Linked DNA regions of Arabidopsis thaliana. The protein of the gene in region 2 interacts with the protein of the main gene of each other region in a pairwise test. Each region holds a gene or a part of one and is shown on either strand. Other genes may lie near its edges.

Region 1 (4,835 bases), about 18 Mb from region 2:
GGGTAATGGGTAGACCGGTTTCATTTACTGGACATTCGGGTAAGCGAGTCGGATTCGGATAAAATCCAATCGGATACAGATTTTTCGGGTTAGAAGTTTAGGATCCAATAGGGTAAATCTAAAATGTCGGTTCAATTTCGGTTCGGGTCCAATCGAGTTTGGATATAGATTTTTAGACCCTTTTTTGGAATCGATATCCGAATTTTTGGGTAAATATCCAGATTTTTTGGGTAAATATCCAGATTTTCGGGTAAAATTTTGAGTTTCAGGTAAAATTTAGATTTTTGAATAAAATATTTGAGTATTTTCGGATTCGGGTTCGTTTTTTTCGGTAGAAGAATTTAAGACCTAATAGGATAAATCTTCGGGTTCGAGTTTGATTTCGGATCCAATTTTTTGGGTTGATTTCGATTCGGATAACCGATTCTGGATTTTTGTCCGGCCTAATTTATTCCTGACAATCGGCCGTAGTAGGTAAAAATAATGAAATGATTGAATAAGGTCGAATTAGTAGATTTAAATCATCATTTTGATAAGATTAAAAATTTACAAATGTATGATAAATTATATTTTGATGACATATACAATTTGGTATTACAAAAAAAATTGATATATACAATGAAAAATATATTGCTGTATAACATAAGATATAAAGTGAAGTGTATATATAATTTTTTTTCCCAAAATCATTTAAGTTGCTATTTTTTCTAATTTCTCATATCCAGCTCCCCATTGTTTCATTCTCTCCGAAGCTTGTTCCACCTAATAAATTAAGATAGTGAATCATTTTACTTCAATTTGTGTGAAAGATTTGATTATAAAACCTGAAATGAGTGGGGGTACCTCTTTGTTCCAATTGGTTATGTAGATCATGTACAAAAGTATGAGAGTCTGAAGACTAGTCCCACATATCATACCAATCCATATCCCCTGAAAAACCACATAAAGCAATTTCATCAACTTAAACCAAAATAATTAGACCGGAGGCTATGTGGCTTTACCTGTACGCCAAGGCTTGTTTTATAACCTAACAAAAACCCTAGAGGTAATCCAAAAGCGTAGTAACAAAACAAGTTTATATAAGCCACCGGTGCTTGCCATCCTCCTCCTACTGCAACTCCTGATATAACTGGTTGTAAACTGTTGAGAATCATCGTTATACCGAGCAGGTACGCAAGATCAGCTACCGCCTTTCTCATCTCTTCACTCTCCGTAAAAATCACAGCAAAGTCATCTCGTGTTATCAGAATTACAATTGCACACACTACTCCAATGACGAGAGACTCTATCACCGTTACGATCACGGAGTATTTCGCAGCTCGTGGATGTCCCGATCCTAGCTCATTCGACACCCTAACACTGAAAGAAACATATATATAAGTCTAACGCCTTCTTTTAGAAGACACAAAGATTGCTTTTGCTTTTTACCTTATAGCTGCATTGATTCCTATGAACAACATTCCTTCCCATCCATTAATGTTCATACTGAGAGAAAGAAAAGTGTTATCAGATATAGAAGAAAATGTAAATCTTTGAGTTTGTGAAGAGGTCTAACGGTTAACCAGATTGAGAGAGATCCAACGGCTATGACAGGGTCTTCAAGATGTCCAGTTAAGACAATGATCGTCATGAAGTACCAAATCTCTAGACAAAGCATAACCGCAGACGCAAACGACAGTTTCAAAAACGGCCAAACGTCTTGAAACGCTAACCAAGACAGCCCTTTCCAACCGTCTTTACACCACCCTACAACATAAACAACCTGCGCGATCGCGATTCCCCAAGCCGAGACATCAAATGCAGCCGCTGCACCGTTTAGCCCCCACTTGAAAACGTTTATAAAGAGGTAGAGGATGAAAATGTGAAGGGTCAAAGCGAAGAAACCGATCCATGCCATGATCCCTACTTTGCTCTGTGACTGGAGAAACTTCTGAGTCGGGAAGTTGATAGCGAGCGCAAACATTTGAGGGATGATTTGTGTAGTGAATTTGCCAGAGATCTCTGCGATTTCGGGTTCTTGGCCGAGTAAAATGAGAAGTGGAGTTGCGTAGATGTAGAGAGGAAGCAAGCAGACGGAAGTTCCGAGGAGGATAAGCCAAGAACGCTGCATATAAACACCTAACATATCCATTTGTCCCGCTCCAAACGCTTGTCCACATAACGTTTCCAACGCACTCGCCATTCCCAGCTGCAGTTTTTTTCTAGAAAGTTAGAGAAAACGCAAGAAACAGAGGAGGAAAAAAGCAGAGTAGAGGAAGGTTATTTTAATCACCAAGAAACCAAAGGAGAAATTAGAGACGACGGAGAGAGCGATGGCGACGGCAGAAAGCTCAAGATCGCCGATATGGCCAACGAAGATGCTTGTGAAGGAGTTAACACCGTAATTACAAAGAATGTTGAAAGCTATAGGTGCAGCTATTTCCCAAAGCTTAGACGTTTCAACCACACAAACAAGTTTAGCATCTCTAAAGCTTTGAATGGGAGGAAAATCAGCGTCTCCGGTGGTTTCACCGAGCAGAGTTGACGGCGCGTGGATAAGCTTGGTCGTCTCATGCTCTGTTTCGAAGACAGAGACTTTGACGACAAGCGGAGAGGATGGACCGCTATCGATGGCGTCGTCAGCTGCTAAGGAGATGGTTTGTTGTAATGGTCCGGCAGAGGATGAGGAGGATCTTCTCTCCTCTCGAACCGGGATCTCCATTTTCACCGGTTGTGGCAATATTTGTCTAAGTTTTTATATTTCTCTACTTGGGGAGGATTAGAGACATGAGGATTGAAAGCAGACAAGACAAGAGATTCTTTTTTATGTTTGTTCTTGTAATTTGTGTTTCTGGTTTGCCTAAGATTAAGGTTAGCCGTGGAGTAGAAGAAGAGAGAACATGGGTTTATTGTGACCGTTCATATAGTTTAAAGTATCGACATGGGTTTATTGATTCAATCACGTAATGATTCTCATACAATACATTCTGTAAGAATTTACATATATGCCATTAGAAGATTATCAAAGTGACAAGAACTTTCAAACTAAGAAGAAAGACATAATCCATGGTTTTAACTGTTAATGTCGATTAAGTCAAATATCATACAACCAACAAATACAGTTTAAACTAATTAAACCCTCTTAGAGAGCAACACTTAAAACATTTAAGGCTGGTTTTGACCAAATCACCTTACAAAATTGATCAAGGAGAAGGTCTACCAAAAGACGACCGTGAGCCAGGGCTAGACAAACCTGTATTGAGATCCGAACAGCCATGGCCTTCACTACAGCTTGTGCCGCTCACTCCTCGGTATGAATCGCCGGAGACAAGAGCTTGTATTAATTTAGGCGGTGGAGGAACCGTCACCTCCACAACTCCTTCAAGCATCTTCACTACCGTTCCCATTGCTGGCCTTATCTCTTCATTGTCTTGTATGCACCATATCGCCACCGTTGCCATCCTCGTCACCTCTTCAGTGTTATATTCTCCGTTGAGTCTAGAGTCAACCACAGAGTCCACATTGCCTTGTATGATCTCACGCGCTGCCCATGGCGGAAAGAACCTGAAAAGGGATTCATTGATTCAATGTATATGTTTTTTTCTCTCTTACAATTGATTCCAAGTAAAAGACATTCTCTAAATACCATTTCTCTGGTTCTGTCTCTTTCTCTCCCAGTGTATCGCTATTAACAATGACATTTCTTCTACCACCGATCAGCTCGAGCAATGTCATTCCAAAGCTATACACATCAGCTTTTGTCGTGATGGGCAAACCAGATATCCATTCGGGAGCCACGTAGCCCCATGTCCCTCTCATCGTGGCTAGAACTCTGCTGAAGTCACGTCCAAGGAGCTTAGCCAAGCCAAAATCAGACACTTTGGCGTTGTAATCACTGTCCAAAAGAATGTTCTCCGGTTTGATATCACAGTGTATAATACAGTCCCTGCATCCTTCATGCAAGTACGCGATCCCTTTGGCAGTACCTAACGCGATCCTGAAACGGGTCTCCCAGCTTAGCAATTTGGGGCTTGTTCTAGACAGATAGGAACTCAAGGATCCTTGTGGCATGTAATCATAGACAAGAAGCCTATGAAGATTCTCTGAACAGAAACCTCTAAGCCTAACGAGATTGACATGTTGAATGTTCCCAATGGTGCATACCTCTGCCCGGAACTCACTCTCCCCGCTTCCAGGTCTTTCTAAGCGTTTCACAGCCACGAATGTAGAAGAACCCGGTAATGTTCCCTTAAACACCGCCCCAAAACCGCCGTGTCCGACCTTATCCGAGAACCCATTGGTAGCTGATTGAAGCTCCTTGAAAGAAAATACCTTAAGATTCAACACAGCAAACCCATCTTCGTCTTGTTTCCTAGTCTTCTTCCTCTTTCGACTCCTCTTCAACAGAATCAATGGCACTAACAATGTAAACCCAAGAACTGAGATTGACCCAACAACGCTGCACAATATAATTATAGACTTAGAGATGTTTCCCTTTGAATTCCCTTTCTTTGGTTCTCTGATATACAATACATCTTCACTAACTCCAGTCCACGAGCTCGAATTCTTCAGATTATTCGGCGACTCGAGTAAAATTTTGCAGAGATTAGACTTCTCCTTATGATAAAAACCAACACAAGAAGAGTTTCCTAAGCAAGTTTTGGCGCAAGAGCTCTTGCTTACCTGCAACCGTGACATCTTCACATCACCATCGTAGCGTAGATCACCAACGGCTTCAAAAGTATCACTCTTTTCGCCGGAATCACCGTTTTCACGGCGGCATCCGTCGCTGTAATCATCAGATCTCCACGCGGCGTCGTTCCTAGGCCGGAAACCGCGGATGCAAGCACAGGGCT
Region 2 (4,252 bases):
CCTCAAATCGATTGATCCATTGTGTTCTTATAGGCTAAGCGGATCGAGCGCTTACTCAGAGACGTATGGGAACTCTTGTCTCGCAGACTCTCAGGACTTTGATGTTAAGGAAGTGGAGGTAGTTAAATTTCATCCCTCTCCTTGAAAAATAAAAGCTTTATATTTCAATATTTTGCAACACCTTTTAACTGAAACAAGCAAACAAACACACCATTGGTTGATTGATTGTTGCAGCTATGGGGATTTGTGTATGGCTCAAAGTATGATGAGATTCTAGCTCACAGCAAAACAATGGAGCCTGGTCTTTGCAGATGGTCATGATCATTATAAAGAAAACCCAAATGAATTCAACTGAGATTCGTCTTTTTGTTGTTGTTGTTGTTGTTGTTGTATAAATCTGTAGTAAAAGAAATCTTGTTGTCTTGTAACTTGGCTAAAATCACATATATGTTACTCTCTCTCACTTGTAATGATGATTTTGAAATAACAAAATAAAACCACCTATTAGGCTCATTCGGCCCATTAAGGCCCATTAAAGCATATGTGTGTGTGAAGAGGGATTAATTTTAGTGGGGAAGAATCAAAGAAGAAAAACCCTTGCTACTGCTTTTCATTTCTGACCTAAAAGCTCAGCTCCGATTTGAAAATGGGGAGTAGATTGGGAGGACGAGTGGTTCATTTCGCGAATCTTCCGATTAAGCTTCTGATGCCTGCGAAGCTGACCAACATTCACGAATTCGCGTTGAAAACGATTCCTTCCGCGTCCAAGATCGAGATCAAGCGAGTCCTGGAGTCGCTCTACGGATTCGATGTGGAGAAGGTGAATACTTTAAACATGGATGGGAAGAAGAAGAAGCGTGGTGGTTTGTTGATAGCGAAAGCTGATTACAAGAAGGCTTACGTCACGCTACGTAGTCCATTGTCGATTTCTAGGGATTTGTTTCCGGTGAAGTATATCGAGGAAGATAGGAAGAGTAAAGTGAAAGGATCTAGCTTTGTTGAGGAAGAAGATGATAAGAAGAGTCATTGGCTTGATCGTAAGGAGAAGAGGGAGATTGGTGGTTATGGTAAAGGTAAAGGTCGTCGAGGTGGTGAAAGGGCTAACTCTCCGACGAGAGGTGGTGCTGCGGCGGCGGGGACGGCCAAGTTTCCATGGAGCAACATGAGATTTGTTGGTAAGTAGGGTTTATGAGCAGATTATGATCTGGGGTTTGTGTTTCTTTAGCTATCGGATTATTGATTTTGTTGTTTCTATTACTTGAGGTTTGTGTATTGAGAATCTGAATCATTGAAGCTCTCAGTGTTTCTGAGATTTGGCTAATAAATCTGAATCAAGATGTTTCCAATTGTTTGTAATCTTTCTCTTAGTGATCTCTGATTAGCTATATGATATTTGCTGCTCCCGAGTTCTAAAGCTTTTTTTCTTAATTGCAATCTATAAGAATGCTTAAGGGGATTAACTCTGGTGATGGTGCTTTGTTTGTCTGTTCAAGTTTTGAGAAACCTCTTATTAGTCTTATTGTTTGTGGATTTGGGGCTTATGTTCAAATGTTCGATCACATTACGCAGATGCAAAACGTATGATAAAATTGTGACAAATCACTACATTAGCCAATAAATATAGTCATCTCTGATCATCCCAAAAATCTCATCACTTTGTGGACTAGTAGCTTGGTGTTTACTAAATAATTGTTAAAATAATTGTTAGTTCAGATTTTGGTATTCATTACAGATTACAACTAGGCTACTACTCACCTAGTATCTTCACAAACTAACAAAAATTTGTTTGGCTTAAAGGTCTTTTTTTGGTTTAGGTTTTAATTAATCAAATAACGATTTAAAAGATTAATGAAGAAGACTTTGATCATAGAAATTTTAGAAAACATTCATCATTAAAAAATATTATTTTTTTTAAACACAGATACACCCAACCGCATCGACGCGCTTCTTATATAAAGTCTCCGCGGAAATCGTTGAATATATTTGGGCGCGTGGCGATTTTGTGAAGGTTGTCAAGTTTGTGTGCGACCGAGTCATCGTCGTCGTGCTCTCCTTCTTCTTCATCGTCGAGACCTAAGAAAGACGAGACTCTGATTCTTCTGATCTTTGAATCACACTTTTTCTTTTTTTCCTTCTTCTTCCAACGGAACGGAACATATGGCTTCGGTTTCACCTTTGGCAAAGTTTAAACTGGTGTTCTTAGGAGACCAATCTGTCGGAAAAACCAGCATCATCACTCGTTTCATGTATGACAAATTCGACACCACGTACCAGGTATTTACACAGATTCCTTTCACTTGTTTTGTTTATTCATTTAAATTCTTCTCTGCGACAACAAGTTTCTTTTGTTTTCGTTTTTTTATTGTTTGATCTGATTCATTATTTCCTATATTACGATTGTTCAGACGATTTCATCTCATATTGGTCCTAGATTACGTCGCTGATATCACTCTGGTTTTTCTTCAATGCATTTGTTTGATCACTCTGCTCTCTGTTTTTTTGGTTGATTTATCAATCTCTTCTTCTTATTATGATCAAGATCGATGATGCTAAGCACTGTTGCTTCTTTGCTTTCTTAGTTAGTCATTAAGCCTTTATTTGTGTTCTCTCTGACTCTCTGCAGCCTACCATTGGAATCGATTTTCTATCGAAAACAATGTACCTCGAAGATCGAACAGTTCGTTTGCAGCTATGGTGAGAACAATGTTACTTTTGCTCTTTACCTAAAAACTAACATGTTAATTTCAAAAGCAATAACAAAACAAGTTTTGATTGAAAGGGATACTGCTGGACAAGAAAGATTCAGGAGTCTAATCCCAAGTTACATCAGAGATTCTTCTGTTGCCATTGTTGTATACGATGTATCCAGTAAGTCCACCTTTGTTTCTCTCTTTGATTCACCTTCTTTTTTGTGTTCTTATGTGTTCAATCAATACTTTGTGTTGCAGATAGGCAAACGTTTCTGAATACCTCGAAATGGATTGAGGATGTTCACAGAGAAAGAGGTCAAAGCAATGTTATCATCGTTCTTGTTGGAAACAAAACTGATCTTGTTGAAAAACGGTAAATACAAACATTAAGCAAAGAATTGGATGGGATGGACTATATAATTCTCTCTTGTCTTATATATGTCAATCTTGATATAATGAAAAACAGGCAAGTATCAATCAGTGAAGGAGAAGACAAGGGTAAAGAGTATGGAGTGATGTTCATTGAGACCAGTGCCAAAGAAAACTTCAACATTAAGGTATGACAAAACTTCAACAAAGAGTATGGAGTGATGTTCATTTGAGTGTTTCTTGTTGTCTGATTTCTAAACACACCAAATCTCTTCAATTTGCAGGCTTTGTTCCGGAAGATTGCTGCAGCTTTACCCGGGGTAGACTCATATTCATTGGCAACAAAATCAGATGACATGGTTGATGTGAATCTAAAGACCACTTCAAATTCATCACAAGGTGAGCAACAAGGAGGAGCAGGTGGTGGTGGAGGCTGTTCTTGTTGATTCAAAAATACATAATTCCAAAACTTGTGAAGCAAACAAAAGGGATCACGTTAGTTTTGTGGTTTTCATCTTATTAACTGACACAGAATATAAAACATCAAAGAGAAAAGGATTACTATTTTTACACATGTGAATCTTTTGCCTTGTTCTGTATTTGATCTGTTTTAGACATTGACGGTAGCAGAATACAAAACCTTATTCTGATCACCACCAAATGAACCAAAGGGAGAAGGATCAACTGTGGTGACAGCTTCCTTCCACTCAATTGTACCCCAAATCTCACCTTTCGAACGAAATCTCGGCACACCAAACATCCAATCTCTCATCATCATCATTACGCTCAAGCCAGAAGAGAACAATGTTCACACCAAAACTGTTCACTTGACTGATATTCTTAGAGCCTCCAAACCTTTAACTATCTTCCATTCTGATTCCTCAGACTCTTGCCAAAACACTCACCGGAAGCTCATATCGGTACCGTATAACAACAATTCCTCAACTACACAATAACTCAAAAGATGTGGCCTATTCGTTCTTCCCCATTTACCATCACTGGGAGAGTAATAAACACTTCCTTCAAACCATTTCACTCCGTAAACCTTGTCTTCCTTAACAAGGCTTCCATTGGCGTTTGTTTTGGCCACTACGATTATCGGCGGGAAGGTTTTGTTGTTTCTTCTCTTCTTGGAAAACGAAAAACGTTATCCTTTATTTGTTCTTCTCTTGTTTTACTTTTTTATTGAGCCT

The links. Proteins that work in one complex are often made in the same cells at the same time.
Region 1: the proteins of RABH1c (region 2) and AT4G00350 interact in a protein complementation assay, tested with the Arabidopsis thaliana proteins (one large-scale study listed by BioGRID).

The regions. Positions count from the first base shown.
Region 1 is NC_003075.7:149,844-154,678, reverse strand, and holds AT4G00350 (MATE efflux family protein), read right to left. Parts: upstream 2,767-4,835; 5' UTR 2,702-2,766; coding exon 2,273-2,701; intron 2,189-2,272; coding exon 1,563-2,188; intron 1,486-1,562; coding exon 1,429-1,485; intron 1,360-1,428; coding exon 1,002-1,359; intron 931-1,001; coding exon 844-930; intron 763-843; coding exon 691-762; 3' UTR 501-690; downstream 1-500. Other genes in the region: AT4G00342 (uncharacterized protein), read left to right, coding at 2,767-2,946; RLK4 (receptor-like protein kinase 4), read right to left, coding at 3,183-3,543, 3,626-4,835.
Region 2 is NC_003075.7:18,503,955-18,508,206, forward strand, and holds RABH1c (RAB GTPase homolog H1C), read left to right. Parts: upstream 1-1,964; 5' UTR 1,965-2,157; coding exon 2,158-2,274; intron 2,275-2,623; coding exon 2,624-2,694; intron 2,695-2,779; coding exon 2,780-2,868; intron 2,869-2,948; coding exon 2,949-3,063; intron 3,064-3,156; coding exon 3,157-3,247; intron 3,248-3,343; coding exon 3,344-3,505; 3' UTR 3,506-3,749; downstream 3,750-4,252. Other genes in the region: AT4G39870 (TLD-domain containing nucleolar protein), read left to right, coding at 34-118, 235-321; AT4G39880 (Ribosomal protein L23/L15e family protein), read left to right, coding at 647-1,183. UniProt on the Arabidopsis thaliana protein: Protein transport. Regulator of membrane traffic from the Golgi apparatus towards the endoplasmic reticulum (ER).